4 linked regions of the Diceros bicornis minor genome follow. The protein of the gene in region 1 interacts with the protein of each later gene in a biochemical or structural test. Links are inferred from orthologs where the notes say so. Each region holds a gene or a part of one and is shown in the gene's direction. Other genes may lie near its edges. The genes, in order: CDK7, GTF2H3, SUPT5H and GTF2E1.

Region 1 (7,539 bases):
CTTCTCCACAAGCTTACCTAATGGTTTATATACTTTATACTTATTAAAGTATACATTTTTAAATGTTAGCCTATTAATTTACTCTTGATTATCAAGTATTACCAGTGTTGAACTATTAAAAGCACACAATCTCTCGTAAACTATCACAGGTTTCCCATAATTTCACTTTTCTTTCAGTTTCTGTTTAGATATGGAAAGAATTTATCAGGCAAAATTGCTGCTTTCGGGAAGTGCTTTTCCCGAAATTGGAGGAGGATCAGTGAAATAATGACTCCATTATTTGCTCTTAATTCTCTTAACGTTTTTCATTCACAAATTTACTGCAGTATAATTGGCTTAATAAGCGTATCCTACTGTAAATGATACAAATATAGGCAAAGTAAAACAAGTGGCTTTGTGGTAATAAGACTGGGGTGTTAACACAAAGATTATTTGTAACCTATATTCAGAAACAAATGTCAATGGAAAATGGAAAATAAATTAAGAAATCAAGTGAATATAGCATAGGAATAAATGTTTGAGTAGAAATTGCAATTTATTATGTTTTGAAGAGTGTTAAGATAGTCTTGTTCTTTGGTTTATTTTACTTTTTGATTGAGATCATGTGTGCAAATCCTGATAACCATTAATTTTCTCAAATTTACTGTCTGAAAGCCTCATAAAATCAACCTAAATATTTACCTTATTAAGGCAATTTATGAAACTTTATTAATAGAGTCTTCCTGTGCCAAAGGTATGTATTATTGTCAAAGTAAAGCCTAACAAAGCTCAATAAATTCTCTTCCACACCTTTAATGATTTCTAAAATATGCTTTAAAGAAGTCATCCCTAAAAATAAGAGTAGATCATGAGCAATAGACAGAGTAGAACTGTTGTCAAGTACGTTTCTACATTTGCCCAGTTCCCTATGGGTTAATGTTTACTGTGTTTTTGTTTTTGTTTTTGTTTTTACTATTTTAGAGTTGATCTTCTCTTCTAAATTCTTTTTTCTGGCCTAGTATAAGCATTGGCAAACTTGAATATGAGGTAGGGGTTTGGTGCCGGCAATAAGCTGTTCTGGTGACTCATGAAAAATACATGATTTATGATTTTGTTTTTTAAGAAATTTATTTGGGAAATTTTCTTAAAAACTAGCACTATTCTCATTTTTCTCTTAGCTTTCTCATTTCAGTAAAAAGAAGCCTAGGACATTTTTTTTGCTTTCAGAAACAGAGTGGGTTCAAGTAATTAAGACTAGCTTGAGGGGCCAGCCCATGGCTTAGTGGTTAAATGCGCGCACTCTGCTGCAGGCCGCCCGGGTTTGGATCCCGGGTGCACACCGATGCACCGCTTGTCAGGCCATGCTGTGGCGGCATCCCATATAAAGTAGAGGAAGATGGGCACAGATGTTAGCCCAGGGCCAGTCTTCCTCAGCAAAAAGAGGAGGATTGGCATGGATGTTACCTCAGGGCTGACCTTTCTCCCCCCCCAAAAAAACGACTGGCTTGAGCAATACTATGGGCCAGCAGTTAGAAAGCCCAATACTGGAACTGCTTGCAGGGCACCTTACTACAGCTGCTGCCATGAAAGTCACAAAGAAAAAATATATCACTTTTACAGAATTTGTGAGTACAGGTATGGCAAAAAGGCATGTCAGAGGGAATTGCTGTCACAGGATGAGTTCCCAAGGAGGATGGTGTCATAGAAAGAATTCTGGCTAGGCTTAGAGTAAATAGCCTGTATTTTCATTTAGAGGTTAAGCACTTAAATATATGTAACCATTAGCAAATTGCTTAATTTGTCCAAGTTTCAGTTTTCCTCTCCGGTACTATACAGTGTGACAGGCAGGACCAAATTAGTGTATTGCCCATTACTTTGTAACAAATCACCCCCAAGCTTAGTGACTACAAACAACAATAATCAATTAATAGCTCATGGTTTCTCTGGGTCAGGAATTCAGGCAGACACAGTTCTGTTCAGTGTCTCTCATGAGGTTGCAATCAGATGCCAACTGGGGCTGCAGTTATCTAAAGGCTTGACTGGGGCTGGACGATCTACCTCCAAGGTCGCTCACTCACGTGGCTGGCAGGTTGATGCTGGCTGTTGGTAGGAGGCCTCAGTTCCTCTCCACAGGGCTGTCTGAGTTAATTCATGACATGATGGGCTGACTTCTCCCCAGAGCAAATGATCTAAGCATGCAAGGCAGAAGCAGCAATGCCATTTATGGTCTAGACTCAGAAGCTGCAGACACTGTCTTCTGCCATATTTGATTGGTCACACAGAACAGCCTGTTTTGTTGTGGGAGGAGACTACACAAGTGCATTAATACCAGAAAGCAAGAATCACTGGGGCCATCTTGGAAGCTGGCTACTACCAATGTGTGAAAGTGCTTTGTAAACTGTAAAATGCTATACAGATGCTGGATGGTATTTTATATATACAATGATCTAATGAACCCAGAATATCACCTAAACACTGCCTTTGTTACCCTATTTAAAATGTCCCCAAACAGGAATTTACTTGTCAGCAGCATGGTATAATGGAGTGATTATCAATTCATATGGCATGGCACACTTGGGAACCTCAAGCCTCACAGGTGTACCATCAAATTTAGCTCATTGTTTAGCTTATTTCTACTACAAGTGAGGTTAGATTACTGTTACAGTGATGTCTTTCAGAAGGAACTTTGACCCAAGTCATGTGACACCATGTATCATTAGGTATGACTTGCCACAGTTAAGAGATATAAGTGGTAAAAGATGGTGTGTTTTCTGCAATGTATGAGAATTTTTCCCATGAACATATTAGAGCTCAATAAAGACCCAAGTAGTGACAAAGAGCTGGAAGATAAGCAATAGTAGTTATGTAATGGCTAACATAAAATGAGCACTGTCAGACACTATTCTAAGGGTTTTTTGAAGTGTGAGGTCATTTAAGCCTTGCAGCAACACTATGAGTAGTTCCTATTAGGAGGAAACTAGGAACAGCAAGGTTAAATAATTTGCCCAAGTTACACATCTAGTGATTAAATATTTGTAAGGCCAGTATTCAAATGCAAGTATCTAGATCCAGAGCAAGGACTCAACCTTTACTCTATTACCTTGATCAAATTGTGTCTTGGTATTCCGATGCCTTCCCAACATACCTCTGAAAATCAGGATTCTCAATTCTTAGAAACATCAAATGCTCCAGAGCTCAAAACCTTGGAATTATCCTGTTTCTTCCCAACAACCCATATCCAGACTGTTAGCAAATCCTATTGGCTAGAAGCCAAACATGTAGCACTTAATATAGCCAACTGGATTATTACAATAATTCTCTAACAGGCCTTCTTGTTTTTCCTTGCCCTTCTAAGTCTATAGTTTAGTCTCTCACAACAGTCAGAGTGAACCTTTTAAAACATTGAGTCAGATCATATCACTTGTCTGCTCAAAACTCTGCAGTGGCTTTTCAGTGATATCTTTCTTGTACCACCCTGTTTAAAACTGCAAACCCTACTATCTCTATGCCCTTTCCCGGCTTTATTATGTCTATAGCACTTATCACTATGTATCAACACATATTTTACTTGTTTGTTTTCTCCTCTCATTGGAAGTCAGGGATCTTTGTCTTTTGGCCCGCTGACTTCTCAGAGTCTACAACAGAGCCTGGCACACAGTAAACAATATATATTCATTGAATAAATGAATTAATGTGTTTAAATTTTGATTTGTATGAAAATTTATGACAAAGTTGGGTACTGATCACCAGTTAACATTTAATTGAGCACTTACTCTGTCTAAACTTTCTGCATGTCTCATTTAATCCTCACAACCACCTATGATGTAGTCTATTATTATTTTCATTTTACAGAGTAGAAAACTGAAGACCATATGGTGTGTTTCAAAGCACAAAATTCTTGAGCTGACTTGGATTTTGTTTCCCTGGGTGTGCTTCTTCATAAAGGGAGTGGGCTAAGAATGCCTCTTGACCAGCCCTTAAGAACTGGGCACTCCTCTAAATAATCTGACATTGCGGGGCTAAGCGTTCTTAGTAACCGTGGCGACAGGACGCCCTCGAGCAACAACTAGAAAGCGAGATCAGGGACAAGGCCAAGCTTTCCACACTCATACACACCTATTAAAGCCCGAACTCAGAACATCGTATTAGAACGGTGACCCGTCCCCAGTCGTGAAGAAAATGTCTAAGTTACAGCGGTAACAGGGCGACACAGACATCCATCGCCGAAAACACGCCGCTTCCGGCACCAACAGGCAACCACGTGACAGCGCGGGGCGCATAGCAGCAAACCAGCGAGCCCGGCCTCGCACAGCCTCCGTAGGGCGGGCTCTGGCTGGACTTATTTAATGTCACTCACGCCCATCCCGGATGTGGGGGCGGAGCTAATAAAGCGTCGGAACCAGTGAACGGAAGTGGCTGTTGGGGGATTAAAGGTAGCTTTAAATTCCTGCTGTGTTCAGAACTCGGCCCTTTCAGCTGGAGTCGGCTTCGCGCGACGGATGGCTGTGGACGTGAAGTCGCGAGCAAAGCGTTATGAAAAACTGGACTTCCTCGGGGAGGGACAGGTGAGACTCTGGGGCGGGATTCGGAGGGCCCTGAGCAGAGAGCGCCGAGCCGCCTCACGCTGGCAGGCTGAAGTGGAAGCCAGAGGACTGGCCTGGCTGCTCGTTCCCTTTGGGCGAGGCTGCCCAGGCCCCCTGCCGCCCCGCGGTACGCCCGCAGGTGAGCCCCTGAGCGGCCCCCTCCTTTCCGCAGAGCAGGCTGGAACGGGACGTGGACTGCCCCACCACGTTTCAGGCCGCCGCGAGTCGGCTCCGAGAACCCTGGTTCTTTGCTTCGCCCAAATCTAAAAAAGTAAAAAGGCAACCACAAACAGAAAAACTCCCGCAGACTTAACGTTATTCCTGTTTTTCTCTCTAGTTTGCCACGGTTTATAAGGCCAGAGACAAGAACACCAACCAAATTGTCGCCATTAAGAAAGTGAGTTTACAGTGTGTTGTTTTCCTTGAGTCTTTTTGAAGACGTCTGTATGTGTGAGCTGATGGATGGCCGTTTTACTGCTCTTCACCGTGCTCTGCTAATGAGGAGTTACCATGTCACTTTCAGAGAAAATAGAATTTATTAGCCTCTTATGTTCCAAGGTGGAACTCGGGTTGAACTAGTTTTTGTTCCAATAATTGTAATTGAAAAGAAGAGGAAGCTATAAGTTATGATCGCTCTGTAAACTCAGATGTTGGCAAAGGGGACGAGTACTGCCTATCTGTTGGGTCCTCAGAGCTATTTAATATGATCTTTCCAGGTCACTATTTCTGCCTCACCTGCATCCACGGTGTGTATCATATCTGTATTTTCTGTGTAAAGATTTACCATGAAAGGCTTTCACCAGCATTAACACCATTGATGTGCTGCGTTTTTAAAAATGATTTAAGGAGCTTTCTTACTTGCATTCATTCAAGAAACTTCGGTCATATTTAGCTAACTTTCTATATGCCAAGCACTTTCACTTACATTTTTTCATTTAATCCCCAAAACAACCTTGTGAAGTAGGTAAAATAAATATCCCTGTTTTATAGTCGAGGTACCTGAGGCTAGAGAGATTAGGTGACTTGTCAAGATGACACAGGTAGTAATTGCTAAAGCTGGGCTTTAAATCCAGGTGTCCTGCTGCCAGGTTGCTTGCTGTTTCCGCATACTCTTGAAATCAATAACCCTTTCAAGAAGAGGCTGTTTTTCTCACATCTCAAGGTCTGTTGGTGGGGTAGGTAACCTCCACCTTCCTATTGTTCCTGTTGCTGCTTTGAATCTGTTTCTCCTTCAGATTCCCTACGTCCTTTGAAGCATATTGCCCTCATTCAGTTAACACCTGGCTCCTTCTCTTCGTCTCCACAATTATTCCTGACATTGTTTTTTCACTTTCTCTAACTTCTTTCATGGCGTTGTTTTCCAGCTTATGTTCTATAATCCAGTGCTATAGCTACTATAGCTACTCCCTTGTGCAACGCTTAACTCTCCTGACCCTTTCTAAAGTTACCTTTTCGACTCTACCCCCGGTTCACTATATTCTAGTCGCATTGACCTTTCTGTCCCTTGAGCTCATTAACTTCATTCCAGTCCCAGGATCACTGCATTTGCCTTGCTTTGTGGTTAGCATATTTTTCCTCTAAAACGTGGCATGGCTGATTCCTTTATCATTTAGGTTTCACTCAAATGTCTCCCCCACAGAGAGGCCTTCGCTGGTGGCTCTAGCTAAAACAGGTGTGCCTCCCTCCTTCCCTAGTGTTCTATGCCATATTTCTCTGTTATCTTCATAGCATTTATCAAAATCTTAAATCTTATCTATGAGTTTATTGTCTATTTACTTAGGACTGTACATTTATAGACACTCATTAAAAATATATTTACTTGACTGACTGATACAATCTTTTCAAGCTGTTGGCACATTTTCTGTAGTTGTTTGAAAGTCCTAGTAGGTTTTTTTGTTTGCTTGCTTTTAATATTAATTAGGATTTAGAATCCATCCTGTTTCTCTGTGATAGACTTTTACACTTTGAAGGTGACTCATGGTGGAATCTTCTTTTACGTTTAATTTTTATTTCAAATAATACATCTTTGTGGTTTTAAAAGTCAGTTAAGAGGCCAAGGCTTTTTAACATGCCTGACTCTTCTACTCCTGTTTTTCAGTCCTTGGAGCAATGACTTTCAATTCCTATAACTGTTTAATGTGGTATTTACCTCTATTTCTTTAAGTAATATGCTTGTATCGTTATTTCTTGAGTGGTTCCCACCCCTCATGCCCCCTGTCCCCTCGTTTTAGACATTATCTGTTTCCTACTATAAACATTGAGGATTTGGTGCTTGTGGACCTTCTGCTCCCAACTCTCATAATTTCTGCTCCCGTTCATTTACTAACATTTATGTGTAATTTTACCAAAAAGGAATAATAAGCTATTCTGTGTTCTTTCACCTATTGCATCTTGCTTTTAAAATAGCATTGATCTACCTTATCCTTTCAAACAGATCATATTGAATTTATGTTTTGTAAAAGTTTATTTAACCAATCCCCTATTGCTGGCCTTTTGGAGCGTTTCTCATTTTTCAATATTTGTCTCAAATATATGTATCTCAACAATATATAGTATTGCATACTTTTAAACTTCAAATATAAATGTATAAAATATTTTTCTGCATCTTGTTTTTCTGAATCAACATTATTTCTGAAATCTTGCACATCGATACATGTAGATCTGGTTTAGTCATGCTCACTGATGATTAGATTCTGTTATATGACTACACTAAAATTTGTCTATCCAAACTCTTGTTGGATAGACAAACTGTTTTCTTCAAAGTTTTCCCTTAATACAGCCCTTCTACAGACGTTCCTATGCGTGTGTGAGTTTCTCTAGAAAGTGTATCTATGGTTGAGACCAATTATGAATTACTGCTACCTAGAGAATACACAGCATCAACCTCACCAGATATTGTCAGATTGCTCTCCAAAGTGGTTGGACCGATTTAACCTCCTGTCACATTCTCACCATCTTTGTATTGTCAGACTCTATA
Region 2 (7,191 bases), on another chromosome or scaffold:
CTCCATTAGGCTCTTTGGGTTGTCTTTCCTATTTGTAAGACATGGTTTGGGCCTACAGGCACCAGGCAGGGAGCATAAGTAAATGCAGTGGGTTGGGTGGGGCCAGCAGCAAAGTAGAAAGGCTAAGCTCCAGCTGTCACCACATGGTCCACTGTTGCCAGATCATCCGATTTTTCTAGAGGAGCTAAAGATCCAATATTTAAATGTTGGCTAACTTAATTTTTTAAAAATTAATAAATACTGTTCGGGGTAAACAACCCATCTATGGGCCAGATACAATTTGCAGACATTTACATGTAACCTATAAGGAATAGAGTACAGAGGACTACATAATGCAGGATGGATGGACACAGCTCTCGAGCTCCTTCCTGGGTCTCACCTGAGAGCTTGTTAGAAATGCAGGTTCTCAGGCTCCGCCCCAGACCTGCTAACCCAGAATCTGCATTTTATAAGATCCCCAGGTGGTTCATCTGCATGTTCCAATTTGAGCAGCTCTGCTCTAAGTTCAGTCTAAATCAGCGCTCATGTGGGTGGGGATTGCACATTAGACTACCCCAGAGCAACTGAAACCCACAGAACACCGACAGCACGGCGAGTCTGCGGAAGGAGACGGCCTCAGCAAGAGGCGGTCTTTGCCTCCACTTGCCTAAAAATGGCTTTGTTTGCAACTGGCTTTTGTATAAGTTCCACTCACATCTAGTATGTCATTTATTTAATAACATACTTCAAAGGTTGGGAAGAGGTAATAAAACAGAGGACAAGATTTCAGAGTCAAAATGCAAGTCAGTCATTTTACAGTTGGTGGGGGCTAGGATGGCAGAAAGGAGGTAGGCTGCTGGGAGAGCCTCCCAAGTTTGATTGCCCTTTGGCAGGGAGAAGGACTTAACTTGCAGGTCCTGTCTTTCTTTACTCATAAACACCTGGCAGCTTTGCCTCTTGGTAACAGCATTTGAAAAGAAGTTAAAAAGAAAATCTCAAACCAGTGCTGACTGTCACCAGGAAGACAGTCGGTATCACCCAGTGACAAGAGCTGCTCTGTGTTGATTTAATTCAGATTAATTAATACATATCCAGTAATAATAATACTTATTTAGTAAGCCATCTTATCAAATCAAGAATCATCCATGCTGTCCCAGTGTTTTTTTCTGCCTGTTTAAAATGACAACCATCTATAATAATACCTACATTTATACAGTGCTTACCATGTGGCAGGCATGGTGCACAGCCCTTATACACACCATCTCATTAATCCTCACAACTCCTCTATGAGGTAGGTACTATTACTACCCTTATTTAATAGATGAGAAAACTGCAGCACAGAGAGGTTAAGTAACTTGTCCAAGGTTACACAGCAAGTAAGTGGCAGAAGCAGGATTTTACCCCAGGAGTCTACCTCCAAAGTCCTTGCTCCCAATTACCACACATGATGAATATCTACTCACCGCCCCATCTTTAATGAAAGTATGGCACAGATCTGCAATTTTATTTCTCGACAGTGATATTCTCCTGAGAAAAAGCTCTCCCCGCTCAATCATGGTTTCTTTACATTTGGAGTAATCCTAGGAGGAAAGAGCAAAATGAAGCGAACTGGAAGATCCGGGTAAAGCTGAGAATATTTGTAGCCAAACAGAGAAGCAAAAAGGTAACCCAAGGCGGGGTGGGGGCTCACCGAGTCTTCCAGGGAGGCAAGGCTGATGAAGCGCAGGAAGAGCTCCCCGCCTGAGGACACGGCCACGGAGGAGTCCACGCCACACAGGGTTTTTATGGCCCTGGTGAGATTCGCCCTCAGGCCCTGGAGTGTCTCCCCTGGAATGATCACATGAGGAATGTGACGTAGATTTCAGTATCACCGCCCCTTGATGGGTCTGCAGTTCATTCATTCATTCAACCAGTCTTTATTGCGTGTATACTGTACACCAGGCACTGTTCTAGACGCCAGAGATACATCCGTGAACAGGACTGACAGGGTCCCTCGTCTCCCTCCTTGTCTCCCCACTCCCTTTCTAGTGGAAGAGGCAGATAAACAAGCACACAAAAAATAAGCAAGTTAATTACAGATTGTAATGAGGATGGAGAAAAGCAGAATGATGAGAAAGGAGAAGCTACTTTAGACAGTTAACAGTGATGGCCTCTTGGAGTGGGGGCCATTTAAACCGAGACCTAAGAAAGGATCCAGCCGCACAGAGATCCAGTGGGAAAGGTTCTAGGCGCAGACCACGCCAATGCAAAGGCCTTGAGATGGGAACAAATTTGGTGTGAGAAACAAAGAGAGGCCAGCACCGCTGAAGCACAGTTCAGTGAGAGACAGCATGGAAGGAAATTAAGTCCCAGTAACAGGAGGTCTGTGAGGCGGGGCAGGTGAGGCCTAGGTGTTTGGGTGTTACTGTAAGGACAATGGTTAGACACTGGAGGTTGCCCTAGAGACATATGTCTTTAGGCCAGCCCTTCAGAATAAAGAAGGCTTTATTTTGCTTATACAAGATGTGATGCTATAGCCAGACGCTTACATTTAGGATGCTTGAATTAGTAGGCAATGACAACGAATGACATTAATACCACAATTTATTCTGGAACGTTCTCTGTGGCATCTGCACAGAATCTGGCACAAGTCAGAAGCTCAATAAACACTTGTACAGCTGAACTACTGCTCTAATTTAAGCTTCATGGTTAACTCGATATAAAATGGTCACTCTTGATTCGAAGTACATTTCATTTATAAAAGGGGACTCATTTAATGATACCTTGAGGGCTCTCTCCAGGTTAAAGGGAGGACTGAAATGCAGGAAGAAGCTGAGCTTGGGGCTAGATTACCTTATGTAGCCGCACATACATCTCTCACTTTCTACACGTCTAACAGTTATTAGAAGACTTTCCTAACGCCCAGAGTGTTTGAGGACGACCCTCTTTACCTTTATCTCTCTTCAAGTACTCCAGCAAAGTCCGGATGGCAGCCACTGCTGAGGCCATGTCAGGATCTTCTTTCATTTGAGACTTAAAGTATTCAATTAATTCTGGGAAGAAAGAAAAAAGTGATTCATCAAATTCATGTAGCAGGATGTAAGACCAGAGAGCTTGTCAATGACTGTTGACCTTACGAAGAAAACTAATTTTAAAAACACTTTCTTTTCGGGGTGTTTGGCTTCACGGGCATCACAAATGTTGGTGGGCATAGAGATGACACTACTATTTGCAAACTCTCTTTCTCTCTCATTTTGAAAAAGCTATCCGTGTACATACAATGGCATAAAATTTAAGCCTTACCGAATGATAGTGAAAGGTCCTTCTCTTCTTATTCTCGACCCCAAGTGCTGAGAGAATCCCAGAGTCAACCACCTTACCAATTGCTCCAGCACCCCTCCCGTCGATATGCTAAGTCAAGCCTACTCACCTACGTACGTACGTACATGTATGAGTATGGAGAAGGCCACCCCCCTCTTATTTTTTTACATGAAAGGTACTACATACATTAGTTTGTAGTACTCTACCAGATGAGCACATCAAATCTGCCCTTTCCTTTTGATTCTAGTACCAGATCCACTAGTGCAGGGAGTCTTACTCATACTTCACATATGAGGAAATCAAGGCTGTGAAGACCTGCACATTTCGTCCGAATCTCACTTTTTGGAGAAGGGCACTGGAAAGCGTGGGCAGAGGGGGTGTCTGGGGATACCCACAGGACCCAACCCTTGGATACAGGAGCAGCGAGAGGTACTGAGCTGTGACCAGAGAAAGCACATCCAACCGAGCAGCCTGAACTTGGAAAGCGAGCTCTCCCGGAGCCCAGCCGGGGAGACGCGCCCAGCAGGCCCGTCCCATCCCCATTTACCCCTGTCGTCCATGGTGCCCTCCGGACCCCGGAGCCCGAGGGGCCCGAGACGCCTGCGCCACCGGGATGGGTCCCACCACCGCGCGGGGGGGTCCGAGCCACAGGGACTGACAACGCGCGGCGCGGTTCCGCTCTCCACTTCCGGCGCTTTGGGGGGGGGGGGCGGGGCCGTGGGTACGGCGCGCGACCTGGGCCAAATCCCCTGCTCGTCACCCGGCGGCGCCGGAAGTCGGAGTGCACAGGTTCCGGGAGAGGCGCAGGACTGCTGCTGGCTCTGCGCTGGCGGACCCGGGCAGCCATGGTCTCAGACGGTGAGGGCAGCGCCAGGGGGGACCCGGACCCCAGGGCTACGCGGACTCGGACCGGCCATGACCGGCCAAATGGAGTATATATTTGGGCTGGGTGGAACGTCTTTGGTCTTTAGAGGAATAGCGAATGTACTCATTCATTCATTCACTAAATGTTTTTGGATCGCCTCCTGTGTGTCAGGCGTTATTTTATGCGCTGGAGAATACAGTAGAGAACGTGACAGACAGGGCCTTCGTGGAGGTTACGGTCTAGTGCGCGAGACAGACAATAGGCAAGTAAATAAAAATAATTTCCAAGGGTGACAAGAGCTATGAAGACAGTAAAGGGATAGTGTATTAGATTGTGCTTAGGGGACGATCAAGGAAGAGCTACTTGAGATACGAGTGCAGGGGACACCGTGGTCTTGGAACTAAGACTTGAATGACTATGCGAAGGTCCTGTGGCAAGTTGAGCCACGACATTATACTGAGAAGACAGAAATGGGGAGCCTAGGGGTAGGGGAAGGTGGAGAGACTTTAATTCATCCGTTATGCTACCAGTTGTAGAGGCTGATGTCTTAAAGGAAGGAAAAAGAGGCCAGAGTGGCAGGAGCAGGGTGAGCTAGAGGGATGAGATCGGAGAGCTGGCCAGGTGCACGGCCCTTGTGGGCCATGACAAAGAGCTTTATTTTATTTTAATGTTTTTTTTTTTCTGAGGAAGATTAGCCCTGAGCTAACATCTGTGCCAACTTCCTCTACTTTATATGTGGGACCCCACCACAGCGTGGCTGACGAGTGATGTAGGTCGGCGCCTGGGATCCAGACCCACAAAACCAGGCGGCTGAAGTGGAACCTGCGAACTGAACCACTAGGCCATGGTGCCGGGCCCTTGAGCTTTATTTTTAAGTGTATTACAAAGGGATTTTAGGGTTTTAAGCAAGGAAGTGTTACTATCTGATTCACAATTTTAAAAGGTCACTTTGGCTGCTGTGTGGAAAATGGACTGTGGGGAGCAAGAATAGACATAGGTCCTTTTGGAGGCTGTGACAGTTGTCCATGCTTCCTTTTATCTGTTTTAATCCCCGTAACGCCCTGTGAGGGAGGCAGACCTGGCATGGCCCCTGTCTGCAAAGAGGAGGTAGAGACCCAAAGAAGGAAATTCACAGGGTCATTGTGTGTGTCTGGATACACACCCCTTCTCACAGGCGACACTTGGTCTTTTTCTCAGGCTTCTTGGTAGCAGCAAGGAGTGGATGGCCCTGAGAATTGTGGGGTGGGGCCTGATGGAGAATGAGGCCAAAGGCTTAAGAGCTTAGGGGCGGGGGAGTGAGGGCCTGTGGGAGACCCGGTTATTAAGTGCCTTTTCTGTACTGGGCACTTTGTTGTATGATTTACATGTATTATTTCATCCCAGGATTAGCAAAAATCCTCATTCTTTGAGGAGTCCACAGTCTAGTGGGCAGGGTTGGGAAGAGGTCAGAAACACAACTAACTGTAAAATGAGGTAGTGAGTATAAGTGTCATTAGAAGAGGGTCAGTGCTGTGGGTGGTCAGAACCAGCCAGTGGGGCAATGAAAAGCCACAACCTTTCGAGTCAAGCAGATCTGTCTTCAAAGCAGGCCACTGGCTTTGCTACTTGCTAGCAGACCATGTGACTTAGAGCAAGTTACTTTCATTCGCACAATAGGAATACCGTATTTCATGTAATCTAAGACTATGTTGATTATGAAATATGCTTTTATTTAATATAACACTGAGAGAAGAATACCGCCACTCTTAATCGTCAGATGCCATCCTGATTTCAGCAACTGTTAAATGTGAAAAAAAAAAGGAGAGAGTACATGTTATAATTGATGAAAGACAGCAATGATATGTCCCTCGATGGGTTGTTGTCAGCATGGAATGGGATTATAGGATGACATATGCCAGTGCCTGATACAGAGGAGGCTGACGTTCCCGCTGTCCTGAGATGGGGGAGCCAGGACTGGTTGGAAAACTTGGGAGAAGAAAGAGGAAGCATTGGTTCGGAGCCTTGAAGAGTAAATAGGATTTGGATATGTGAGCAGAAATCAAAGATGGGTGGGGATTATCCTGACACAGGAGACAGGGAACTGCAGGAAGGAAGTAATGGGGGCAGGAAAGGCATTATTGCTTTTTGCTGTTAAATGAACATCCTGGGTTTTTTGTAACAGCGTGTGCTTATGGGTTCGTATGTCTGTCACCTCAGTAAGAATGTAGGCTTTTTGAAGGCTTGGACCCGGTATCCCCAACACCTAACAGTGATACTTAGTGTAAATTTTTGTTGAATGAGTTAATGTGTATAGTTAGCCTGTTTAGTTGTATCTGTCTCTTTGGAGAGCAGCCTAGTTCCTTTTCACAGTGAACTCTCCTTTACACAGGAGTTGCTTTTCCCTCTTTGGTGTTCACCTTTGTAAAATTGGTTGCTAATTGGACCCACAGTTGGCTGTGCTGCTGGGTGATTTGATGGACTTGAGGCCACATTGATTCCTGTTTCCCTTTTACCCCCGCATGCCCCAAATTCCACCACTAGTGATTCTCACTGCTGGTTAATCACTGCCTTCTGTCCTTGACCAGGCATTTAAAATGCATATGTCTTTGAGTTTGTTTAGTGTATGTTTATTGAGCATCCTCTATGGCTAGGCAGTGTGCTGGGAGCAGAGGTAAGCAGGGACAAAACAAACAAAAATTCCTCCTTGTGGGGCTCATCTTCTAGTGTGTGAAGGATGCAGTGGTGCAGAAAGCAGGCAAGGGCTTGCTAAGGGCCCCCAGAGCTTTACATCTTTACAAGAACTTGGCTTTCTGTTAATCTCATGGTTGTAGGACGATAAACATGGAAAGGCGTATAGTGATGCTTGATTTGGATTTAATTCAGAAATTGGGAATGTTAGCTTTAATTCACTTTCATGAAGCTAATGTTTTTTATTTTTTGTTAATATTTTCAGAAGATGAATTGAATCTTCTAGTTATCATAGTTGATACCAACCCAATTTGGTGGGGAAAGCAAGCATTAAAGGAATCTCAGGTAAGATTGCTTGAGGAGGCCTTTGGATAATTCTG
Region 3 (7,278 bases), on another chromosome or scaffold:
GGAGGATCCTCCAGCCCAGAGTCCAGCTCCAAAAGGGTGAGAGAGAGGGGGGAGGGGGAGGGGGAAGGAGGAAGGGAGCACCCAGAGGCTGACTTGGAGGGACAGACAGACAGATACACAGCACAGGAGAGAGACAGGCACACATGGAGGAGAAAGGAAGATGGAACAGACGGTGAAGAGGAGAAAGAAAATAGACAACAGGTCAGTCAGAGATGGACCCAGAAAATACAAGTGACAGATTCAGAGGCAGAGAGGCCAACTCTCAGAGAAAGACGACAGACAGGTACAGGCCGGCATGGAGATTTTGAGACACTTGAGACAGAAATAGAAGTAGAAAAGAGAGCAGAGCCCCCCCCCCCCCCAATGTACCTGCAGACATGGATGAGGCCCAGCACAGGCATTTTCCAATGAGAAGACAGGCCACAGAATGCACACACTCACACACTCTGTACTGCCTTACAGGCCTGTTTGGGGGACAGGGGAGGCTTCCAAACTCTCCAGTCTTTCTGGGCTGATCCTCACACCCTTACTAAATCTTGTATCTTCCCTGGGGAGGAAGGGGGTCAGGGAGCCCTCTGACTCCCTCCCTCCCCACTCTAGCATCACCATCTTCTCTGGCATTTTGGAGAACATTCCCTGAGTGTCTATGGATTGAGTGGAGCTGGAACTGGGGGGTTCATGGACAGGGGCACTTCCCTTCATCCACTACAGTCTTCCAACTTGCTCCATCTCTCTGTACCTCTTGCTTCCAGGACGCTGGCCCAGGACCAGAGAAAGCCTGGGGATGGGCAGGGTGTCCATATGGCCTCTCTGGACCATCCTCCTGCTGATGTGGCCTTTGGGGGGCCTAGGACCACCCCTCTGCCCTCGGGAGCCCTTCTACTTCCTCGTTGCCCTCATGAAGATGCTGGTGAGGAAGGGGGAGGGGGGAGCCAGCAGATACAGCAGGGAGATGGTGGGGTGGGGGACATGTTTGAGGAGGGGTCAGGCTCTCCCCCTCCAAGATCTGATTCTCCTGCCTACCCCAAAATTGTAGGGAAACAAAAATGATGGCACTCTCTACACCCCAGATGATTTCTCGGTGAGTATTTCATTAGCTCCTTACTGAAGTTGGAAGTTTAGAGAATCCACTAGGCTTGAAACACACATATGTTGAGGGCTGGTGTTCTGGCAGTACAGCCCCTGACCCAGCCTCCAGTCTTGACAAATATATTTTGTGCCCTGCTGTTTCCAACACCTAGAACAGTGACTGGCTCGTAATAACAGCAAATGATGATGATGGTGATTATAGCTACACTTAAAATAGCACTTGCTCTGTGCCAGGTACTGGTCTAAACACTTTAAGTATATTAGCTTATTTACTCTTCACACTGACCCTATGAGGTAGACAGGGCCTCCGTGTATGGATGTGAAGGTTGTACCCTGCACAAGGATCCCACATGTACAATATTCACATCCCAGACATATTTGTCAATTTCTGGCAGATGACAGTAAATTATCTTGTTCTAACAAAATCAGCTCTTAGAAGTGCTTTAAGGGGCTGGCCCGGTGGTGCAAGCGGTTAGGTGTGCGCGCTCTGCTGCAGTGACCCAGGGTTTGCCGGTTCGGATCCCAGGCGCGCACCGATGCACCGCTTGTCAGGGCATGCTGTGGCGGCATCCCATATAAAGTAGAGGAAGATGGGCACAGATGTTAGCCCAGGGCCAGTCTTCCTCAGTAAAAAAGAGGAGGCTTGGCATCGGATGTTAGCTCAGGGCTGGTCTTCCTCACACACAAAAAAAAGGAATAACTTAAAAAAAAAAAGTGCTTTAAAGGAGTGTCTTTTTCTAATTTACACAGGTACAGTACAAGCTAACGTCAGCCCTAAAGGTAGGGAGTATTCAGAGCTCCATTTTACAGATGAGGAAACTGAGGCCTAAAGAGGTGAAGGGGCTTGTCCCAGGCCACAAGTTAGAAACTCTGGCGGTGGGGAGTGGGGATCAGGCCCTTGCCCACCAGATCACTCTGTCCCCCTAGGTGTGTCCTGCGGAGACTCTAGGCTGCTTCCGGCTGGAGCTGTCTGTTATAGGGTTGGAGGAGGGCCCATCTGTGGGGACTGCTGTGTTCCGGCTACAGCGTCTGCTGGATGCCCTGGGGTCCCGGATGTGGGGGACTGGCCAGGGCCCTTGCCCACCCTGCGAAGGACATCCCCAGAGACCTGTCCCTCTCTTTCTGGCCAAACTCTTGGAGTTATTACAGGGGGCTTGTGCTCAGCGCCTGCCCTCAACATGAGCTTGGAGGACACAGGCTCCCTGGTGCTCCTGGAGAGGCTGGGTAGAGAGAGGGAGAGACTTGGTCTCCAGCCCTACCTCCCAAACCCTAAGCCCTCTCCTTCTAGGACAGATGATGCCCCCCCTGGAGCCCGAGGAGCCAAGGGGAAGAGGAGAGAAGGAAGAAAATAAGGTGAGATCCAAAGCCTGAAGTCTCTGACCTCTTGGGGCAGGGGGGGTTGGATAAATTGGCACCCACCTGTCTCTATTTTCCCTCTCTTTCAGATACTCCCTTCTCTCTCCTCTTCCAGGAAGGAACAGAGCATTGCACAGGTGTCTCCTAACCTCATCCCCACCACTTGAGGACAGGGAGAGTCTTGTGGCTCACATCCCTCACCGCAAATAATTACCACCTGGAGAACTTTCACGTGATACTGATGGTCAGGCCCCCACTCAGAGAATTTGATAACTGGTCTCTGGTGGATCTTGAACATCTATATTTTTAAAGTCAACTTTATTGAGGTATAATTTACATACAGTAAAAGCCATCCGTTTTAAGTGTACATTTCAATGAGTTCTGACAAACATATACGCATTGCCACATTTCCATCAAAAATTCCACAATTCCCCCAAGCATTCCCTCATGCCCCTTCCCAGTCTCCGCCTCTAGTCCTAGACACCCGCTAATCTGCTTTCTGTCTGTAATAGATTAGTTTTGCTTCCTCCAGAGTTTCATATGAATGGAATCATACGGTACATATCCTAGTGTCTGGCTTCTTTCACTCAGCGTGGTTTTTTTGTGGTTCATTCATGCGTGTACCAGTAGTCTGTTACTCTTCGGTTGTATGGATGTACCCCAACTTGTGTCTGCATTCTCCTCATGGTGGACATTGGGTTGTTTCCAGTTTGCGGCCATTATGCATCTCTCTCATCTTATCTTCTCAAGTGTTCTTCTGTGGTGCCAGGGTTGAGAGTTGAGAACCACTGATACATCAAAGAAGAACTTTCTATGGGGGCACTATTACCCTTCCCTCTCTTTTCTGGAGTAAATGTCTTTCTGGAGCAGTGTCATAATAGGCATTTGATATGTGGAATCTTATTTTAAAGAGCTGCTGTTTAAAGGAACCAAGCTTATGGAAGGAGACACGTCTCTATGGAGTGCTCAGCCCCTCCCCAGTCTGTCTTGGATTCAATTTAGGATTGTTGATCCCGGAGTGTGTGCTTATGCAGAGATGCACCTGGGGTATACTTACCCCCTGGTAGCTGTCTTGTGAGCCTGCTGCCGACCCAACCGCAACATACCCCTGTAACTAACTAGGTGCATATTAAATGTCTGTAAATTGAATCCAGGTGTCTCACTGCTTATGCGAGAAATTTTAGCAGTGTGTTGTAAAAGCTTCTGATTTTTTTTTTCCTTCATCAGGTTAATTTTTCATCTCTCTTCCTCTTGCCTCGTCCTCTTTGGCACCTCTCTGACAAATAATTACTAATACATAAATCCACATTTAAATCAACTTAGACTGTAAAGGAAAACAAGGGCTTTGGGGTCACCCAGACTTGGAGAGGAGTCATGGGTCTGCCGCTTTCCAGTTTATTTTTCAGAGGTTCGGTTTCCTCGGTTGCAGCATGGGGGTACTTCCCTCCTAGGAATGCTTTAGAGGGTCCGTGAGATAAAGTCTGATTGGTTTGCTAATTTATTATTATTATTATTTGCTAATTCCCTGCCTGCTCACGGCTTGGCACATGGCGTTAGTGATCTGGACTAAACTCAAGCACGAATTCCTGGCTGGAAAAGGCCGGGTGCGAGCGGGGAATAACGCTGCGCGCGTTGACCCTCTCAAGATGTCGGCTCCACGCCCTGCATTAAGACAGCTCTGCCACTCTCAAGATGGCGTCCTGGAAGTGCGTCGCCGGGGTCGAGTCCCGGAAATCTCGCGTTAGGCGAGGCCAAGGGGTAGGTTCTCGCGAGAGGGCACGTCAGTCCCAACTAGGCGTCGTGTGAACAGCAGCTGCTGCCGAGGGCGGAGGTGGTGCCGGAGCGGTGAGGGGTGGGTCGCACGCCGTGGTGGCAGGCCTGGGGGTGGCCGGGGGCCGGGGAGGCGTAGAAGCCAGATTCGGGGACTCGGGAGGTGTAGCAGGTGGCGTAGGGGGCCCCGTTTCGCGTTCACAGTTGACGGAACGAGGCTGCCGGAAGTGCGCTGAGGGGTTTTTCTTCTCCCCGGGACCCGGCGGGGAAACTGAGGCTCGGGGTGGGGCTCGGGACTGGGGGACGCGCTGAGGCCGCCGTCTTTTCCCGCAAGAGCAGATGTCGGACAGCGAGGACAGCAACTTCTCCGAGGAGGAGGACAGCGAGCGCAGCAGTGACGGCGAGGAGGCCGAGGTCTGTGGCTGGCACGCCGGAGGAGGCCCTGCGCCCGGGGACAGCACCGGGGCAGAAAGGCCCCGGGGGCAGCTCGGAGGGGCTCCGAACGAGCTCTGGCCTCTGGGAGCTTCCAGGTTGTCGGGGGCGAGAAAGTAGGGAAACCCAAGTCAAGCAGAGGCACAGGTGCTGGAGGCCAGGGATGCTCCGGGACGTGGGATGACAGGCGGTGTGTTTAAAGGGCCGGACGTATAGTAAGTGCTCACTCTTAGTTTTTATATTCAGGAACGCTCAGTCCTTCTAGGAATGTATTTTTAGCGCCTACTATGTGCTAGGCACAATTCTGGGCCCTTGGGCTATTCCAGTAAACAAAACAGTTGAAAAATCTCTGCCCTCGTGCATGTAAATAAACATAGCTGATGAGTAAGTCATTCGGTAAGCTGGCAGTTACTATGGAGGAGAGGGGAGAAGAGGAATAGGGAGGCCTGCCTACACTTTAAATAGCGTGATCAGAGCGAGTCTGGGCGGCCATGTTTGAAAAAAAGATCATTGGAGGTGAGGGAGGGAGCCATGGCCTATGGAAGAAGGGTGTCCCAGTCGGGGGACCAGCAGGTGTAAAGTTGGGAGCATGTCTGCAGGGTTCAGGCGGTAACAAGGGGTCCAGTTTGGCTGGATCAAAGTGAGTGCAACAGAGAAGTAACTGGAGACGGAGCATATGTTGAGGGGCACGGTGTGGAATTGGTCTTTGACTGAGTGAGACGCATTCGTGAGAAGGTGTTGAGCAAAGAAGGGATGTGATCTAATGTTTTGAAAGGCTCTCTGTGGCTTTGGGTCTGTTGAATGTCACTGTTTCAGGAACCAAATAACAAACGTGTCCTGGGGCATATCTGGTTTCCCATATTCTTTTGTTAACTATTAATATCTTTTATTTATTTCTGACTTGTTTGTTGAGCGAATAAATGTTCGCGCATCTACTGCGGTCTTCCAGATACTTCCTAGGTGTTGGAGAGAATGGAGCAAGGCAAATCTTTGCTTTCATGGAGTTTACATTTGGTAGACAGCAGTTACAAACCAATAAAGAGAGGACACGATGATTATAGATGTCTTCTTTGATCTCCATAAACATGTTTTTGTGTGTGTGAGGAAGATCAGCCCTGAGCTAACATCTGATGCCAATCCTCCTCTTTTTGCTGAGGAAGACTGGCCCTGGGCTACCATCTGTGCCCATCCTCCTCTACGTTATATGGGACGCCGCCACAGCATGGCCTGAGGAGCCGTGTGTCGGTGCACGCCCAGGATCCGAACCCTCACCCTCAGGCTGCCGAAGTGGAGCGCACACACCGAACCGCCGGGCCACCGGACCAGCCCCTGAACATATTTTTTAAGTTAGTTGCCAACACTTGTAAGGGCAATTTCGTGTAAAAAATCAAGAATCCCTGCTTTTCTGGGAAAATGGGAGGAGCCAGCAACCTGAGACCCAGGATTGTTCTACACAGCAGCTCTTTGCTCAAAAAGTGGCAGCCCTCTTTAGAACTGGGAATTTTCTCCATTTCCCAGGATATATCAATGGCCATTTCTCATCATGCCTGCCTAGTGGCAGATTTAAGAAAAGGAAAGATTTAGGGGCCGGCCCTGTGGCGTAGCAGTTAAGTGCGCGCACTCTGCTGCTGGCGGCCCGGGGTTCGGATCCCAGGCGCACACCGACACACGGCTTGTCAGCTGTGGTGGCATCCCACATAAAGTGAAGGAAGATGGGCACGGATGTTAGCCCAGGGCCAGTCTTCCTCAGCAAACAGAGGAGGATTGGCATGGATGTTAGCTCAGGGCTGATCTTCCTCACAAAAAAAAAAAAAAAAAAAGAAAACGAAAGAGTTCACATACCTGTGTCCTGGGAAACATCAGGTAGACGGCGAGTGCTGTGGGTTTCTCCTGAGCTGCCGCACTTATTTAGGTTGCCTGCTTGCCCTCTGTGGGCATTTGATTGTCAATCCTTGTTGTGCCCTTTGGGGCGTTCTCAGCTTCCAGTGAAGAGTTGGAGGAATTGGGGTGTTGTGGCGGGGAGTGGGGGGAAGTGGGAGGATGCCAGGAAGGGCCTTTGCTCTGAGCTGTAGCGCTGGGTCCTTGGTTTCTGACTCATGGCTTCAAGACACTGCTTGTGGTTAAAGCCTGGTGGTAATGAGACCAGGATCCCCGGTTCCTTTTCCTGGCTGGGGCAATCTGGTTCGCACTGTGTAAGTCTCACTTCCCCAACACCACACCAGGCTCTTGACTTACCTGCTAGCTCATCTGCTGTCAGCGTGTGAGGCAGAGGGGCAGTGTGAGGCCTGCCCTCACTGCCAGAGATAGAACTGGATGGTCTTTTCAGACAGCCTCCTTGAAGGACCGGGTCCTGTGGTAGACAGACAGGGATGACAAATTATGAGCCACTGTTGGGGGAATCGGCTGACTCACCATTCTCAGCCCCAGTAACTTGCTCACTCATTCATTCAACAAGTATTTTTGAGTTCCTGTCGTGTTGGGTTCACAGCCTCCCTCATGGAGCTCTCTGTCCTGGGGTGGAGGTGGTTTTATAAATAGATGGTTCCTTCAGGGGCTGCTGAGAATGGATGATGTAAGAGCGCGTTCAAATCCTGAGATAACAGAGAGATAGTAGTGGGAGCTCTGTCCTCA
Region 4 (7,856 bases), on another chromosome or scaffold:
GATTGTGCTTGAACACTGTCAGTAACAGGGACTCATATTTCACAATTCCATACTTAAGACACTTGAGTTCTTCCACACAGTGATTTTTAAAAGGGAGCCAACCATTTGGCCCAGACTTACCCTGTGGAAAAAGAGAACAACTCTACTCCCTCCTTCTACAACATGGCCCTTTATCTTAGGGCAGCATTTTATTTTCTTTTAGAGCTCCTGGATTGAGGGCAATCTAGTTATTAATGCTAGGGCTAGCATTCTGAGATCTGTATGAAGAGGAAAGGAAATGAGTTCTCCCTGTACGTCCATGTGTAGTCACTCATTCAATTAACAGCATTTTAAGATACCATCATGACAAGCATGATTGGTGAATCTTGATGCATCACTAGTTGTATCAAAATTTAGACCATCCCTTTGTGTGCATTGTGTGTGTATGCAACTATCACTTACGTTTATTTTTTATTATAAAAAGTTATATTTACAGATAATCTAGAAAGTATTAAAAAAAGGAAAAAATCACCTGAAGAGCACTGTTGTCAACATGTAGGTTTATTTAATTCCATAAGCAGGGTTTTTCTGTAAGCAGGTTGTTACCGTGAATATATACACAGTGTACTTAGCAACAATAAAACATAAGCCTTTGTTTACACAGCTGGTTCTGTTTGGAATATCCTTTCCATCCTCCCCCTCCATTTCCCCTCTGTTGGCCTGGTGAATTATTTTTAAGACTCAGCAACATTCTAGTTATAAAGTCTTTTCTGACTCCACACAGGTAGAACTGAGCACATCATCCACCATCGTCTGGGTCTCCACTGTATCCTGTACATTTTTCTACAGAGCACTTAAACACATTATTGCACTTGTTTGTTTATAGGTTTTATTCACTCTGTTTAAGTTCTCTGAGGACTGGGACTGGGTTTTACTTATCTTTTTATCTCCAGTACTCAGAACATGGCCTTAATTAGTATTTATTTAGTGACTAAAATTTTCCATGTTACTACAGAATCCTCCTAAACATTTTTAATGTTTCCATTGTAGTTCAGAGAGTTGACATGACAATTTACTTAACCACTTCCTCATTATTAGATATTTAGGGTGTTTTGAAATTTTACTATGCTAAGAAAAGATTTCTATTCAATGTTTAAAATTATTTCCTTAGTATACTTTCCCAGAAGTGAAATTAATATGTAAAAGGAAGTGCACATTTAAAGTTCTTGATATATATTGACAGCTTTCATCTGGTTACTCTGCCACCAGACATACACATAGGCCTGCAGGTCTTGTTGTACCTCAACACTATTGTGTAGGTGCTTTTTCATCTTTGTTAATTTGATAAGAGAAAAAAAGGGACATCTCGCTTTAGTCTGCATTTCTCTACCTTCTGGTAAAGATACACATTATGATCATCTTTGCTAATCACTTGTCTTTCTCTCATGAATTATCTATTCATGTGCTCTGCCCATTTATCTACTGGGTTTTAGTGCTATCAGTTTACACAACCTCCTCATATATTAGCGGTCTCCTGTAACTGATGAAACATTTTCCAGGTTTCCCTTTTATTCTTCTTCTTTTTTTACATACAGACATTTAAGATTTTTGTGCACTCAAACTTAGCTTTGTCTTTGTATTTACTGCATTCCATCTGTGACCTTCAGGGCATGCTGTTGATGTTTGTGTTTGCACGCAGGTTTATGTTGGAGACATATATCTAGGCATTTAGTTATCAGCTTGATGCAAGGCTTGAGCTTCTAGTAACGCTTAACTGTGTCAGAGTAAACATCTTTATGCAGTAATACTGTATAGCTCTCCATGAATTAACTTTGGGTGATAACAGTTATCTAACACTGGATGAACTCTCAACAGTAAGAACAACTGAAGTACCAGGAACAATGGCTAACTATTTATTTATTTAAGAATTTTGGGAGGTTCTGATTCTGTGTTTTCACCATTAAAACTAAATTAGATCAAAAGAATGCACTTGGTTTGCTGGGGGGACAAAGGCCCAATATAATGAAATAAATACCAGCTCCAAATATAATTGTTGGTAATGTGTTATGCTCATCTCTTATCTCTGAAAGAACAAAGAGAAAACAGTATTTGCGGATTACTGACACTTTCATGATTCCTAACTAAATTAGCAAATATCTCTATGGGATACAAAAACAAATCTCTAAGTCCCAAGTCATTCCTTTACAAATTTGTGAAATCCTCAAAATTTCATGAGGGAAATAAGCCTTTATTCAAAAGTAAACTTTTAAGTTTGAATACAAAGGCAGATGAAGTGTAAAAAGTATATTCTAACCTGTCAGATAGCAAATCACTGTTAAAAGGGAACTGATAAAAAGACAGTAACTGACTTGGCACATAGCTTAACATCACTGAATGTGTGACGAGATTAATCACTTTTCCTGGTGGGCATGGCTGAGACTTCTGTTTTATAACTAAACTATAATGGGGAAAAAAAAAAAGCTTACTAATTGCCTGATCACTTTTCTACATTTAATGCAGCAGCCAATTCAACTCTGTTATGTAATGCATTGATGTCACAGTTATAACCCCAGCACCTAATACAGTGCCTGCTATGTAATAGGTACTCAAGTATTTTTGGAGGAAAAAAAAGAAAAACCGACTAGTTCCAACAATATGTAACATGGAAGGATCGTTAGATGCAATGGAAAAGGGAATTATAGATGAGTGAGAACACCCACTTCACATATCATAAAGAACCATGTTAGCTCTGGATTCCAGTTCTAAATCCTACTTGATGATACTCTTGCCAAGTCTCTTCAAACTACCACTACTTTCTTCATCCGTAAAACTGAGTAATTTTATTAAATAAACATCACCACTTCAAGCTAAAGAACTGGAATTGACACAAATTGGATTAGGTCAATAGAATTTCCTAATGCAACTTTCTTAAGGGAATATTAAACAATGCTCTCTGTAAAATTTTTCACAATACAAATAGTCTTCAGGCAACGTGAAAACGTTCTTAACCTTCTCCTCTCCCTAACAACTTTGTTCAGTTCTTTAAGGCTAGTTCTCAAGCTCTTTGGGGTATGTCCTCTCCACTTCCAATCATCTGGCACAACGTCTTTGCTCACAGCACACATTCAAAGGTCAACTCCAGAAAAGCAAATCTATGAAATGCACAGCTAGCATTTATTCCAATTTCTTAAGGAGCATAGGAGTGGAGGTTATAGTGAGAAAGAGAAGATAGTGAGGGGGGAGGGAGAAATGCAGACTTCAGTTCTAGTTTTCAAATGTCCAAGGTGTCAAAAGAAGAATTTTAACACTAGGATTAAATTGGGCTTAGCTTCATAATATGGTCTTTATCTTAATTTCTCTATTTCTTACAACTTAGCACATAATGGACTTTCAATTACGATTAAAGAGAACAAAGAAATAAAGAAGCCCAGCTGAGAGTAAAATAGGACTACCACCCAATATCTCATTTCATAATATCGCTTAGTATAAAGTACAGGGACTCTGGGTTCAACTTGGTTCTATCATTTACATCTCTCTGCCTCACTTTTCTCACCTGTAAAATAGGGTAATAGGGCTGATCTCAGGATTAAATGAGTTAATGCATGCAACGCATTTGGAACAGTGTGTAAAAATTGACTACAGTGGAGCCATTAGAGTTGGAGCTGCCTTTCCAGAAAAACTGCTTTGCTGTCTTGAACACTGGACTGGGCCAAACCTTTGGACCGGGCCAAAACTGCAATTGTTTTACAAGCAATTGTTTGAGAAGTCAGCAGGAGAATCGATAACCAGGTAGCAAAGACTGAGGATGTGGACTTTCTGAAGATAGAATCAATAAGCAGTCAATGTTTAGCCAAGACTAGCTCTTTGCCTCCAACTGCAATTAAAACTCTTTGTAATACAACCTCCCTTTGCCTTTAAAAGCCCCTGACTTTTACTCCCTAGCGGAACATGTTTTGGATTTCTATCTGAATCTGTGTCTCTCAAACTGCAATTCTAATTGCCCAAATAAATATCTGAGGCTTAAATTGTAGTGATTTTTACTCGGTTGACAAGTGTCATCCTTCTTAGTGCCCGTTTGACCTCCTTAAGGAACAAAATCTCTTGAGGGCATAGTCCTAACTTCTGTCTCCTTTGCACGACGCCCAATACAGTACTCAGTGTGAGCATATCTTTTAAAACAAAGGAATTGACAATACACGCTAGTCGCCAAGGAGACCAACGTGGAGAGTTTCCAAGGCGGAGAAGGGCCGGGGCTCTAAGCCCCCCACCCACACGGCGCCGCTGCTGCGTCAGAGCAAAGTCCTCTGGGAAGTGTAGTCTTGAGGGTTGAGAGGGCTTTCAGCCACAGGCCGGAGCCAGTTAGTTGGAGGGGAGGGACTAGTGAAGCGGGAAGGTTATCGAATAACTCAAAAGTGCCGGGAGCCCCAGAGTTGGGTTAAACCGCTCACCTGAGTCTCCCAACACCAGTACCTTCACCCGATCCAGGGACGCCATCTTGCCACAACCTTGCCGGAGTTAACGCCTGTTCCGGGATTGTAGGCCAATCAGAGCTGAGTATGGACGGCCGAGCCTTCAATTTCATTGGCCAATCGGAGCGCGACTGTCTTGATTGAAGGCTTCTCTGTGCTGATTGGCCCGCCTGGTTAAGAGTAGCTGTGGTTTCCAAAGCTGGTCGCAGGAATAATGCGTTTTCTTTGTCGCACGGGTGGCGTGGCTCCTTTAAGCCGGTAGTTGAGGCGCTGAGGGAAGCTGTAGTGGGAGTGTTCGAGGATTCGCTTTGGTAAACCTTATTCCCTGTTCCTTGTTCTCGGTTCCCTGACCCGGAGCCGCATTTCAGGGTTTCTCCTTCTCTTCGCTCCTCTCTTCTTAGCTACCTTCCTCCTCTTAGCTCCTCTGTTGACTTGGTCCTCTTGTTGGTCCTCCAAAGAACCATTGACCCCGGAGCGGCCCCGTGTGCGACCTCGGGTAGGACGGCCTTGGCTGCGACGAGCGTGGCCCCCGGACTCAGCTGGCAGAGTCCGAGGGAATCTAGGGCCTCGGGGGCTCGCAGTGGGGAGGAGTGAACATTACTGAACCGGGCTCGTGGAGGGCAGCTGGTCCGGAGGTTTCGCGGTGATAGCCGCTTTATGTAGGAAGGCGTGGAGACTACTATGAAATATGGTAACTGAGAAAACCACAGTTAGATGTATAGAATCCAGGTTCTAGAACTGGAATAGTGGTATACTGAAATAATCTACCTGGGCTCTCCGCATCCACTCCTTTTTCCTTTTATTTTTCACCCTGCAGTCAGCATAATCTTTTAAAATCGCGAATTTGATCCAGTCACCTCCTGCTTAAAACCATTTGAAGTTAATGAAGAGGGTTTCCAATAGCCTATCTCTCTTTTACTCTGGAAGCAGCAGTGGAGGCAGTGAATTGGGGGAAGCTGGCAGGGTGGGCATGTTAGAAGAACACGTGCTTAGGGGATCTGTTGAAAGTTTTATGGAAGTACTTGCCTAGCTGTGCTGGAGGCTGGAAAGTCATTGGTGAACTATTGTAAGCCCCTGGTCTCAGAGATAGACATGGAGAAAAGTACAAGTCTACGCACCTGAAGGAAGAACGGGAAAGAGCTATGGGAACGTGTGGAAGGGAGTCATACTAAGCTACTCGGGAATCTGGAAAGGTCTCTGAGGAAATGTCATTTGAGATATGAAGGATGGCTAGGAGAAGGGAGTTTGGGCTTAGATTTGGGGGCAGAAAGAACAGCATGTGCAAAGGCCTGGAAGTGGGGAAAGCATGTGTGGCTCATAGAATTGCGACAATGCCAGTCTGTCTGGAGGTGAGGTTGACAAGAGTAGACAGTGCAGAGAATGCATTCATTTCAACATTGTTTCTCCAACTCTGTGCCTGGTACACAGTAGTCCTTAAATGTTTTTTTTTTTTTTCTTTTTTTTTTTCCCCCCCAAAGCCCCAGTAGATAGTTGTATGTCATAGCTGCACATCCTTCTAGTTGATGTATGTGGGACGCGGCCTCAGCATGGCCGGAGAAGCGGTGCGTCTGCACGCTCGGGATCCGAACCCAGGCCGCCAGCAGCAGAGCGCGCGCACTTAACCGCTAAGCCACGGGGCCGGCCCTAAATGTTTTTGTGATTAGAATGCATATGGTTCAAAAACAAAACCAACTTGCCTTTGGGGTCTGGGCTGGGTAGGGAGATAGGTGAGGCTGGGAGATGACTGATCATCATCTCCCAAGGGCTAGCCCTGAGAAGTCACACACTCAAAAGTCTCCAGAGGCCAGCCAAGCTCCTTCCCTGTTTAAAACTGTCGACTGCTCTTCAGCTTATTGTTTCCATGTGGTAGCATGGCTTCACGTTTTTCCTCAGATATTTCCAGTTTTCAAGAGGAGCTGAAAGTTGAATTTTATGTTAAATCTCACGATTTTTAAATGTTGACAATGTAATTGTAATTCAGAAAATTTTCAAAACATTCTTTGGGTTAAACAGTGTGGCACAGGATGCCAGTTTGAGACCTCTGACCTAAGTAACTTAAGAAATCCAGAGATTGAGGAGGAGATTCAGCATAAGTGGGGAAGTAGAAGTGGTGGAGGAGAGAACGCAGTGGTCAGGAAGGAGGATTTTAGAACACAGATTTTGAACAAGGTGGCACAGCATGACTTCTTTCCTGAGCTCCAGGTTCATTTGTTCAGCTACCTGCTGGACATCTTCACCAGAATATTCTGTGGTATCTCCTCAAAGACAAGCAACTAAAAGTTGAATACCTCGTTTCTTCCAAACTTGTTCCTCTTCAGGTGTTAACCTATTTCTCATACTAGTACTTTTCTCTTTCTGGATACACTGGCTCAAAGCAAATAGCTACATGTTATTGTTTAATAACATATTAAACTATGTTATTGTTTAATGGGTATAGCATTTCACTTTTACAAGATGAAAAGAGTTACGGAGATGGATGGTGGTGACAGTTGCACAACCTTATGAACGTATTTAATACCATTGAACTGTATACTTAAAAATGGTTAATTGGTAAATGTTATGCGTTTTTTACCATAATAAAAAAATTGTAAAAAAAAAACACCCCTAAATAGCTATTTAAATTTTTCCTACCCTGTTACTCCATTTCCATTATTATTGGGTCCTTTTGATTTTGTTTCGATAATAAGTTTCATTCATCCTGTCCTCTTACAGTTGTGCTCTCCTCCGCAGCTTAGGTTTGGTTGCTATATCTCCTCATACCTCCACAGTGCCTGCATCTTCACTTACTTCAGTCCAGTTTTCATATTGTTGTCAGAGTCACTTTCCTAAATAGGGGGTCTTATTCTGAATGCCAATACATAATGGAACTCTTATATCAGCCTTACATCTGCTTTCAAATCAGAACACTTTACACGAATTATCTTATTTAATCCATCCATCAACTCTATGAAGAAGGTGCTGTTTATCACTTTTTATATATGAGGAAACTGAGACTGAGAATTTTCAAGGGTCCTGGGCTAAGAAATGATGGAACTGGGATTCAAAACTCAAAACAATTGGATTGCGGAGTCCTCATGTCGCTCCCTTGCTCAAATCTTAAGGGCCCCCTAAGGTGTTTCAGGCAAAGGAAACAGGCTGAATGATAAGTGGCACCGGGTCCTCCCCATGCGGGATGTGCATTGCCAGTATATGTAATAGCCAGGCACCAGATTTGTCTGGAGCAGTGGTCAGGGACTTTTTCTGTGTATTAGAGATACCCAAAGAACTTTTAAAATAAGATAATTGCTTGATCTGGCCCTCCCAGCCCAGCTGAAAGAGAATCTCTGGGATTGGGGCCCAGGGTGGATATTTTTAAATGCCCTGCAGATGATTCTGCTTTACAGCCAGGGATGAGAATTATTGGTCCGG

The links.
Region 2: the proteins of CDK7 (region 1) and GTF2H3 form a complex in vitro, tested with the Homo sapiens proteins (2 studies listed by BioGRID). The link is inferred for Diceros bicornis minor from reciprocal best matches to the Homo sapiens genes CDK7 and GTF2H3.
Region 3: of the proteins of CDK7 (region 1) and SUPT5H, one has a biochemical effect on the other in vitro, tested with the Homo sapiens proteins (2 studies listed by BioGRID, with this or other methods). The link is inferred for Diceros bicornis minor from reciprocal best matches to the Homo sapiens genes CDK7 and SUPT5H.
Region 4: of the proteins of CDK7 (region 1) and GTF2E1, one has a biochemical effect on the other in vitro, tested with the Homo sapiens proteins (3 studies listed by BioGRID, with this or other methods). The link is inferred for Diceros bicornis minor from reciprocal best matches to the Homo sapiens genes CDK7 and GTF2E1.

What each region holds. Positions count from the first base shown.
Region 1 is NC_080759.1:8,285,309-8,292,847, reverse strand, and holds the start of CDK7 (cyclin-dependent kinase 7), read left to right. Parts: upstream 1-4,379; 5' UTR 4,380-4,478; coding exon 4,479-4,544; intron 4,545-4,899; coding exon 4,900-4,959; intron 4,960-7,539. UniProt on the Homo sapiens protein: Serine/threonine kinase involved in cell cycle control and in RNA polymerase II-mediated RNA transcription. Cyclin-dependent kinases (CDKs) are activated by the binding to a cyclin and mediate the progression through the cell cycle.
Region 2 is NC_080774.1:6,853,834-6,861,024, reverse strand, and holds the start of GTF2H3 (general transcription factor IIH subunit 3), read left to right. Parts: upstream 1-4,069; 5' UTR 4,070-4,124; coding exon 4,125-4,137; intron 4,138-7,076; coding exon 7,077-7,156; intron 7,157-7,191. Other genes in the region: EIF2B1 (translation initiation factor eIF-2B subunit alpha), read right to left, coding at 1,443-1,559, 1,670-1,806, 2,910-3,011, 3,827-3,839. UniProt on the Homo sapiens protein: Component of the general transcription and DNA repair factor IIH (TFIIH) core complex, which is involved in general and transcription-coupled nucleotide excision repair (NER) of damaged DNA and, when complexed to CAK, in RNA transcription by RNA polymerase II.
Region 3 is NC_080773.1:13,442,584-13,449,861, forward strand, and holds the start of SUPT5H (transcription elongation factor SPT5), read left to right. Parts: upstream 1-4,209; 5' UTR 4,210-4,297; intron 4,298-4,554; coding exon 4,555-4,629; intron 4,630-7,278. UniProt on the Homo sapiens protein: Component of the DRB sensitivity-inducing factor complex (DSIF complex), which regulates mRNA processing and transcription elongation by RNA polymerase II.
Region 4 is NC_080754.1:21,984,065-21,991,920, forward strand, and holds the start of GTF2E1 (general transcription factor IIE subunit 1), read left to right. Parts: upstream 1-4,684; 5' UTR 4,685-4,759; intron 4,760-4,784; exon of another isoform or gene 4,785-4,944; intron 4,945-7,856. Other genes in the region: RABL3 (rab-like protein 3), read right to left, coding at 4,428-4,473.